Linked DNA regions of Macaca fascicularis. The protein of the gene in region 2 interacts with the protein of the main gene of each other region in a pairwise test. Links are inferred from orthologs where the notes say so. Each region holds a gene or a part of one and is shown on either strand. Other genes may lie near its edges.

The links. The genes of interacting proteins can lie anywhere in the genome.
Region 1: the proteins of PTK6 (region 2) and FCHO1 interact in binary tests that used the Homo sapiens proteins (3 or more experiments, as listed by UniProt). The two-hybrid records come from large-scale screens. The link is inferred for Macaca fascicularis from reciprocal best matches to the Homo sapiens genes PTK6 and FCHO1.

The regions. Positions count from the first base shown.
Region 1 is NC_088393.1:18,087,799-18,091,906, forward strand, and holds the start of FCHO1 (F-BAR domain only protein 1), read left to right. Parts: upstream 1-1,308; 5' UTR 1,309-1,379; intron 1,380-1,679; exon of another isoform or gene 1,680-1,820; intron 1,821-4,108. UniProt on the Homo sapiens protein: Functions in an early step of clathrin-mediated endocytosis. Has both a membrane binding/bending activity and the ability to recruit proteins essential to the formation of functional clathrin-coated pits.
Region 2 is NC_088384.1:119,666,204-119,670,442, forward strand, and holds the start of PTK6 (protein-tyrosine kinase 6), read right to left. Parts: upstream 2,801-4,239; 5' UTR 2,788-2,800; coding exon 2,558-2,787; intron 911-2,557; coding exon 789-910; intron 193-788; coding exon 29-192; coding exon of another isoform or gene 1-28. UniProt on the Homo sapiens protein: Non-receptor tyrosine-protein kinase implicated in the regulation of a variety of signaling pathways that control the differentiation and maintenance of normal epithelia, as well as tumor growth.

The DNA.
Region 1 (4,108 bases), on a different chromosome or scaffold from region 2:
GCTTCATGACTGTTGTCTCAGCATTTTGGAAGCTGAGGCAGGAGGATTACTTAAGCCTGAGAGTTTGAGGCTGCAGTGAGCTATGATCATGCCACTGCACTCCAGCCTGGGCAACTGAGCAAGACCTCGTCTCTAAACAACGAAAGAAAGAAAAGAAAGAACATCTGTAGCTGCCTTGGAGAACAGGGATTGTGTAGGGCTGGGATGGAGGGAACAAGAAGCACAAATAGGAAACTGAGGCAGCATCCAGGCTGAAGATAATTGGACCACTGTGGGGTGTAGGAAAACGGACAATTTGGAACTGTTTCAGAGACACTGAATCCACAGGATGAAATGCTGGTGATGAAGGGAAGAGAAGATCCTTAGGGTCTCCCAAGCTTCTGGTCTGTGCTCCTGGGCTGCCCTGACTGAGCCTGGGAGGCTGGTGGAGAGAGGCAAGAGCAATCAGCCGGGTGCCCTGTCCCTAAGCAGAGGGTAGAACGGGGGACTGGCGGGTGTTGTGTAAGTTTATTTTTTCTTTTTCTTCGTTTTGTTTGTTTTTTTAAGACGAAGTCTCACTCTTGTCACCCAGGCTGAAGTGCAGTGGTGCGATCTCGGCTCACTGCAACCTCTACCTCTCGGGTTCAAGTGATTCTCCTGCCTCAGCCTCCGGAGTAGCTGGGGTTACAGGCAGCTGCCACCACGCCCGGCTAATTTTTGTATTTTTAGTAGAGACAGGGTTTCACCATGTTGGCCAGGCTGGTCTCGGACTCCTAACCTCAAGCAATCGAGTTCGATCTCCAAAACAGAACTGTCATATGTCCTATGAGGGGATGACCTCCTGTGCAAGGGGCCGGATCCCGGGGCTGCCCTAGGCCGGCTGCAGACTTGCTGTGTGGCCTCCAAACAAGACCTTGCCCTCTCTGAGCCTCAGATTTTCCACTTGTAAAATAAAGACCAATAACGTTGCGGTTACAGGCTTGTGGGGGGTCATCAAATGAGCCCTGCCTGGGCGATGAATAAACGTTGGTCGCTCCTTACCCTTTACCACTGACTCTCAGGGGGAAAGAGTGGCGCCTGTCTCTTTAAATTATGCAAATAGCTGCGGGTGGCGTAAAGGGGGGGACTACTAAAAAGAGCCTGGTCTTAGGCTGGACCAATCAGCGCGCTGGGCTGGCGGAGACGGCCGTCTAAATGGCCCAATGGGGGACTGCGCGGGATCAGAGCCCGCCCTGCCTCCTGGCGCCGTCGCGGGGGTGGGGACTTTGTAGGCCACGCCCAGGGGGCGGAGCCAGTCGGCAGCCGCGCCGCAGCCGCGGAGGGAGGGGCGGGGCGGGCTCGGGTGTCAGCGACCGAGCCGCAGGTGGCGGCGAGCGCGGGGCTCGGCCGGAGCTCAGGAGGTGAGTGTTGCCCCCCGGAACCCCCTGGGACACCCTGGCCCGCGCAGCCTCCCACGCGCACCGTGCCCTGCAGCCCCGGCTGCTGCGGAGGGCAAAGGCGCGGCGGGACGCGAGGGATGGAGAGCAGGGGTTGGGGGCTAAGCGGTGGGCGCCCCGGCTTCTTCCCCAAGTGGTAATCGGGGGTCCGCAGGCGGAAACGGGGACCGCTCCCCAAATCCACCGTCTCCTGGCCTAGAACCGAGCGTGCACGGGGGCGGTGACGACGCGAGACCCCTCCCCAAATCCTTTTATTCTAAGCCTAGGTCTGGGTTCTGGGGCTGCAAAGATGGGGGTGCCGCTCCCCTTCCAGCCTGGAACCCTGGGCGGTGGCCGAGATGGGGACCACCCGCAAATTCCCTCTTCCCAGCTCCGGCCTGCAGACCACCGGGGACCGAGGATGAGGTACCCGCTTCCCTTTTCCTCCACTGTGAACCCCTCTCCAGGCCTGATGGCTGGAGGAGCTGGAGGGTCACCTGGCCCCTCCTCTAATCTGCCCCATCCCAGTCCCCCACCTCAAGGATGGGGTGGGAGGCGTTTCACTGGCATCTTCTGTGCGGACCCCAAGGTTGGAATTTTGGGGAGGAGGTCAGTGTGGGGTCCCCTGCCTGGCACGGTTTATCCAGGCCAGGCCTTGAAGGGCCTGGAGCCTGGACTTGGGGGGGTCCCTCTCTTACTGAGGGGCGGGGTGTACAGCTAGCATCTGTTCCTGGGGATTAAAATAAATCGAGGTAAATTAGGATCTTGCCAGAGGCTGGCTGTGAGTGGGGTGCGGAGGAGGTTTGGGTGGTGGGGGGCCCCTCCATCTGCCTTGGATCCCCCGAGTCACCTGCCCCAGCCGCAGTGGGGACCAGGAGGCAGAGTCGAATGGACCTGCTTCACTGGTGACCTTGGGCAGGTGACAGCGCCTTCCCAAACCTCGGTTTCCTCTTTTGAAAATTGAGGTTGGGAGCTTCGGACCCTGCATTTTACAGATTCTGAACTCACCCAGCCCACATTTTGTCTGATGGTGATTCACTCTTTTGCTTAACATGTGGGTGGTTTGGGGTCAAGAGAGTATTGGGTTTGGAGACCCTCCCACAGTGCCTTGCTATCCTCTGAGCCTCAGTTTACTGCACTGCAAAATAGGTTGATGATGACACTCTGATATTGGGGCTGGGGGCATGGGGGCAGGGAGTAAAACATAGGACCAAGCTGCAATCATTGGGACGGGGCATCACCACCCTGGTCTCACCAGTGGGGCCACCTAGGGCACACCCTGACCCACATACCATCACCCACACCAGGGGCGAACCTGTTCTTGGGCGAGGTCCTGGGCAGGAGGAGGTGGGAGTTGCCAGGCCAGCTCATGCCCTGTCCCTTGGAGCCCCCTCCCAGTGGTGGGCACAGGGCTGGGAGTCTGACACCCCCAGGTTTGAATTTGCCCCTACCTGTGTGTGTTTTCACTTGCTCCCTTGGTTTGTTCTTCTGTGAAATGGGCTGAATTCCTCTGGGAGGATGAGAGGAGTCTGTGGGAGGAGGAAGCTCTGTAAATACAGACATGATCATTATGATATTAATGACAGCATTAGTGCTCTTTAAATCGGGTCACAGCTGACCAGGAGGAGGGAGGGGAAGGGGGAGTCTACCAAGGGCATTGCCGAAGGAGACTCTAGCACCTGGGAAAGTTAGGCATACAGTAGGCATTCGATAGATGTTTGCCAAATGAAGTGAGGAAGAGGGAGGAGACCCATGGGGAGAACAGAAAATTCCTGAGAATCCCTGGCTCAGATCCCCACTTGGTGGCCTGAGTGTGTGACCTGGGGCACGTGCCTCAGTTTCCCCATCGTGGTGCTGGTCGAGATAAGACCCTGCCTTGAGGTGCGGTGGTGAGAATCAAGCCAGATTGTATAAGTGATCGCAGCCCAGGTGGCTAAGCCAAGAGGGGAGACATGACATAGTGGGTCATGGAAACAGCATGGTACCTGCCTGAACCAAGTGACCGGTCCGTGGGAAGGATGAGGAAACCGCTGCTACTGGCCCTACTGTACATTCACTGGGGTCCGAGAGAGAGAGGGAAATGGCAGATCCTGCTTCCCAGGATCCTGGAAGCCAGATCCTGCTTCCCAGGATCCTGGAAGCCAGATCCTGGAAGGTCAGGAGTGGCCCAAGGTCACCAGGCAAGACGTCAGTGGCTCTGGACACCCAGCCAGGCACCACTCAATTCCCAGAATGGGAGCTCGGGTCTTGCCTTTGTTGCTGATGTGGTTCCTGCTTTGTTTTAACTGTTCTGGGGCTGCTTACATGTCTCAGCCCCAGGTTTGCAAGACTTGGTGCCGGGAAGGCAGGATGGGGACCTCTGAGTCAGCTGGCAGTGTGCTGTGTGACCTTGGGCAAGTCTCTGGCTGTCTCTGGGCTTTGTGCTGGCGCTGTACAGGCTGGGAGACTTGGGTTCTAGCAGGACTGACTTCTCCATCAGACCCAACAAGCCCGATGTCTCAGGCTCACAGTGCTTTTAGGGGTCCGTAGGTTGATGTTTTCACTTCTTTTAAAATCCGAAGGGAAAAAAAATGAACTTTTGGGTTGAAGGAAACATTTTTGTGTGTAATATTAATATATTCATGTTTATGCCAATGTAATTGGCAAATATAGTTTTGTTTTGTTTTCAAGACAGAGTCTCTCTCTGTCGCCCAGGCTAGAGTGCAGTGGCTCGA
Region 2 (4,239 bases):
TACGACCAAGTCAGGGCGGAGCGGCTACCTTCCGGCAGGGCGCGGCCAGCCGCAGGCCGTGGGACAGGCTCTGGGCCCTGTGGTAGTTCACAAGCTCGGACAGGCTGGGGAAGGACACCGCCTCGTTCAGGTGCAGCTGGCCCCCGGCTCGCCACCAGATCTTGTAGTGCCGCACAGCCTGCGCGTCCCGCACTGGGAGGGAAAGCGTGAGCGGTGTCACCACCCCGCTCCAACGCCTCCCTGCGCGTCCCCAGCCCTGCTGGCCACACCTGCTCAGAGCTTCTGGGTCCCCATAGTTGCTGTTGGTGCTTCCTCAGTACCCACCCCTGCGTCCCCTCCCTTGAAACAGCTCCCTCCTGCCCTGCCTGCTCTGGCCAAGCTCCCTGGCCCCTCCTGCCTCCGTGCCAGGCAGCCCATGGCCTCTGCCTGGATGGCAGCTGCCTGAAATCCCAGCCACACTGAGATCCTCAGGGGCAGGAATGGGGTTTCTTCGCGCCTCGTGCACCCCGGACTCAGGGTCTCATGCTGGACCAGGTTCCCACAGGTGCCAGGACCTCCCATGAGTGCCTCAGGCAGGGCTGGCCGGAGAAGCCCCTGCCCTCCCAGGGAGGGGCCCTGCCCCACGACTGCCCCAGGCCCCAGGGAGGATCGGGCCAGGTGGGCGGAGGGGATGGGGGCTCCCTGGAGAGGAGCCCATGTCCCCAGTCACAGCCCGAGGGAGCCAGTTCACCACGTGGATGGGAGGGCTTAGAGCAAGGAGCCCCCGCAGGCTCGGAGGCTGGCCGCACCCGACAGGACGTAGTTGGCGCCTGGCTTCTCGCTGACCCTGATCAGGAAGGTGCCGGCGGCGTTACCCTCCGCCTGCAGCCGACGCACAGCTTCTGAGCGGGAGATGCAGCCGAAGAACCACCTACAGGGGAGGAGTAGTCTGAGCCCGCGCAGACCTGGGCCCACCCCACGTGGACCCCCCGCGGGCCCCAGTCTGCCCACCTGGAACCACAGCCACCCTTGCCTGCCACCTCAAGCTCCCAGCCCTGACCACAGCTGCTATTGGGAGCTGTCGCTGACCCAGACGCCCTGAATGTCCCAAATGGCCAGGACAGGCCCCTGAGGACCCAGCGGGGGGAGGGGCAGGCTTGACCACACCCTGCCCTGAGAGGCCCGTGTCTAAGGGTCAGAGCCTAGGGTGGAGTTGGGGAGGGCACCTGAGCAGTAGGGCTGCCCAGAGCTGCCTGCACACACACCCACGTGTGACACGTACACACATGCACTCACACAGTTGCATACCCCCACACATGCGCATGGTTCACCCGCACACCTGAACACACACACACACATGCATGCGGGCTACCCCCACACAGGCACACAGTTCACCTGCACACCGAACACACACACACGCATGTGGGCTCACTTGCCCACAGTCACACACACACACAGTCACTCACACACACTAACTCCCGGCTGCAGGGTGTGGGCCAGCCCTGGACTGTGGACTTCCAGGTGGAGCTCACAGAAGCTCCAGGTGACCTGTGCCCAGCCCTTTGTGTCTCTGACTCCCTCGGGCCACTGGAACACGGACCCCACATGAAGACCACCGCCCAGCATGGAACCCCTGGGGTCTACCCCCTCCGCTTCTGCACAGCTGGGAGCACTGCCCCACTCACCCCTCCAATCACCTGGCCTCCTTCCCACTCCTCACCTGGGCGAGTTCTCCGGGCCTCAGGGTCTTTGCATCTGGGAGCTGACCAGCCTCTGGCCAGACCCTATCCCTGCACCCCTGCTCCCTAACGAGGTGGTGGGTCTGAATGTGACACAGGGGTCTCCACCATGGGCCCCTGCCCAATGGCCTCTTTACAGCCTCCCCTGCTTGTTGCTTGGGTCCCCCAGGAATTAACCCTACACAGCCCGTGATTCATGCACGCACACAGTAGGTACCCAATCAATGATGAGAAAAGCGGGATCTCAGGAGTGTGAGTCGTAGAAACCCCTCCCCCAGACCCTCCCCAGCCTGAGCTCCGAGCAGCCATGGAAGCCGAGGCCGGACCACACCAGCTGGTCTGGTTCCTCGCAGGGCACAACAGGCAGGAAGCTTGCCTGGCAGCCCGCCCTCTCCCCTACCTAGCTCGTGTGTCTGGTTCTGGCAGTTTGGAAACTGAGCAAGCTTCGTTCCCCCAAAGGCCCTGGAACGCCCCAACAGACCTTGTCACTGGCCACTGGACCCCTAGAAGTCCACCCTGGACCTCTGTCCTCCCTGGGTCCTGGCAGAGCAGTGTCCACCACCGAGCTGTGACAAGGATGAGCCCAAGGGAGGGGCCATGCCCTCTGAGCCCCCTGCTCCAACTCCTGTAGCGACAGTCCTGTGGGCACTCCCAGGTGCCAGCACATGGGACCTGGAGCGAGGACCAAGCGGGATGCCCAGCCTGGACTTCGGGGTACAGGAAGATGGAGCCGGGGTCCCACCTTCCTGGGCCTCCCTGGGGCCAGCCCAGAGCCCTGTCCCTCCCTTGTGCCTAGAGGGTGGCCTGCGCCAAAGCTCCCAGGAGTTCAGGACACGCACGGTTCCGACTCCACGGTCTCCCTCTCGGCCAGGTAGCTGTGGGGCACATAGCCCTGGGCCACGGCCCCACCCGCCTCGTCCAGCAGCGTGGCCCACCACCACTGCTCCTCCTTCCTGGCCACGTGGAAGACGTCCCCCGCTCGGAAGCTCAGCTCCTCGTCCGTCCGGGCCTTGAAGTCCCAGAGGCCCACATACTTGGGGCCCAGGTGAGCCTGGTCCCGGGACACCATGGCTGGCGCAGTGGCAGGACCAGGCTGTGGCCCAGCTGGAGCACCTAGGGCTGGGCGTGGCAGGCGGGCGGTCCCACTTCCTCGTGACAGGCAGGGAAGCAGCCACCCCAGCACCCACAGGCTCTCGAGAGCACCCCAGCTCCTCCTGAGGGCCCAGCCGGCCCCACGAGTCCTCACGCCCCCTGGGGCCCATCTGGGCACTTAGTGCCCCCACCACGGGAACCTGCTGGGCAAGCAGCCACAGGGAGGGAGGGAGGAGTACTCCCCAGCTGGGGCTTCTCGGGGGTCCAACCTGTGGACACTCAGGCACTCAGGGAACCCAAGAGCCCCCTTGGGAATGAGCCTTGCAGCCTGAGGGCAGGACGGTGAGGGCTGCAGGTGCTGCCTCCCAACCCTCAGAGCTATGGGGGCACAGGTGGGGGCTTCTCTCCCCACTTCTGGAAGCTTCTCCTCCACCCGTTGGTGCCTCCCCTCACCCAGCCCCAGACTCCACCCCTGAGCACGGGGCCCAATGCCAGGAGCTGCTGTGGGCGGGCATCCTGAGAGCCACCTCGTGGGCAGGCCCGCCCTCGGGTAAGGGCCAAGCGGGGAAGAGGGATTGGAGTCAGGACGGTGACAGCTGTGTGGGTCGGCCGGGAGGACTTCCCAGAAGAGGAGGGCCCGAGGGTTTTGGGGATCCCTGGGGGGGCAGGGCCAGGGGCACCCGCAGCTGAAGAAACGGGCATTGCCTTCCTCCACACGGACGCCAGGGGGCAGGGAAGGACCGTGAGTGTGGCCTGGAGGCGCCCACAGCGCTGGGGCCCGGGGCGCAGCTCCCTCCCAGGCAGCTCCTCCAGCCTCCAGCCTCTGCCGCCTCCTGCCCAGCCCCATGACCCTTGCTCCCTTCCAGCTCACCTCCCCTCTCCCCACCCATGCCTGAGTGAGCCCTGGCGTGACCCCCACCTGCACCCAAAGGCCGCCTGTCCCCCAGCCCCTGAGACTCAAGACACCCCTCCCCAGGAGCCCCTGCCCGCCCCACCCTCCCGCTGACCCTCCTGTGTCCACCAGGGGCTCCAACGCAGGGGCCTGGATCGGCAGCCTCAGGGGGCAGGAAGGGGTGAGGAGGGAAATTCAAAGTCTGCAAGGAATGGCAGGGAAAGTCCTAAACTCTGCGTATTTGAACTTTTATTTTTATTGCAAAGAGAAATAATGGAACCTTCCGCTCATTGTTTGGAGATTAAGAACAATAATTATTTAACAGGTTCATAGATTTCTGAGCAGCCCAGCTCAGGGCTGACCAAGGTAGGGAGGGGCAGCGGGGTGCTGGGCTGGGCAGTGTCCCTCAGGCCCTGCCAGCTCTGCCGGGGGTCGGTCGGGAGAGATGCAGGGGGAGGGGTGGAGGTGGGGCATGCCAGAGGAGGGCGCTGGGGCATCTGCCCAGGCAGCGTCCCTCAGAGCCCACCAGCTCTGCCA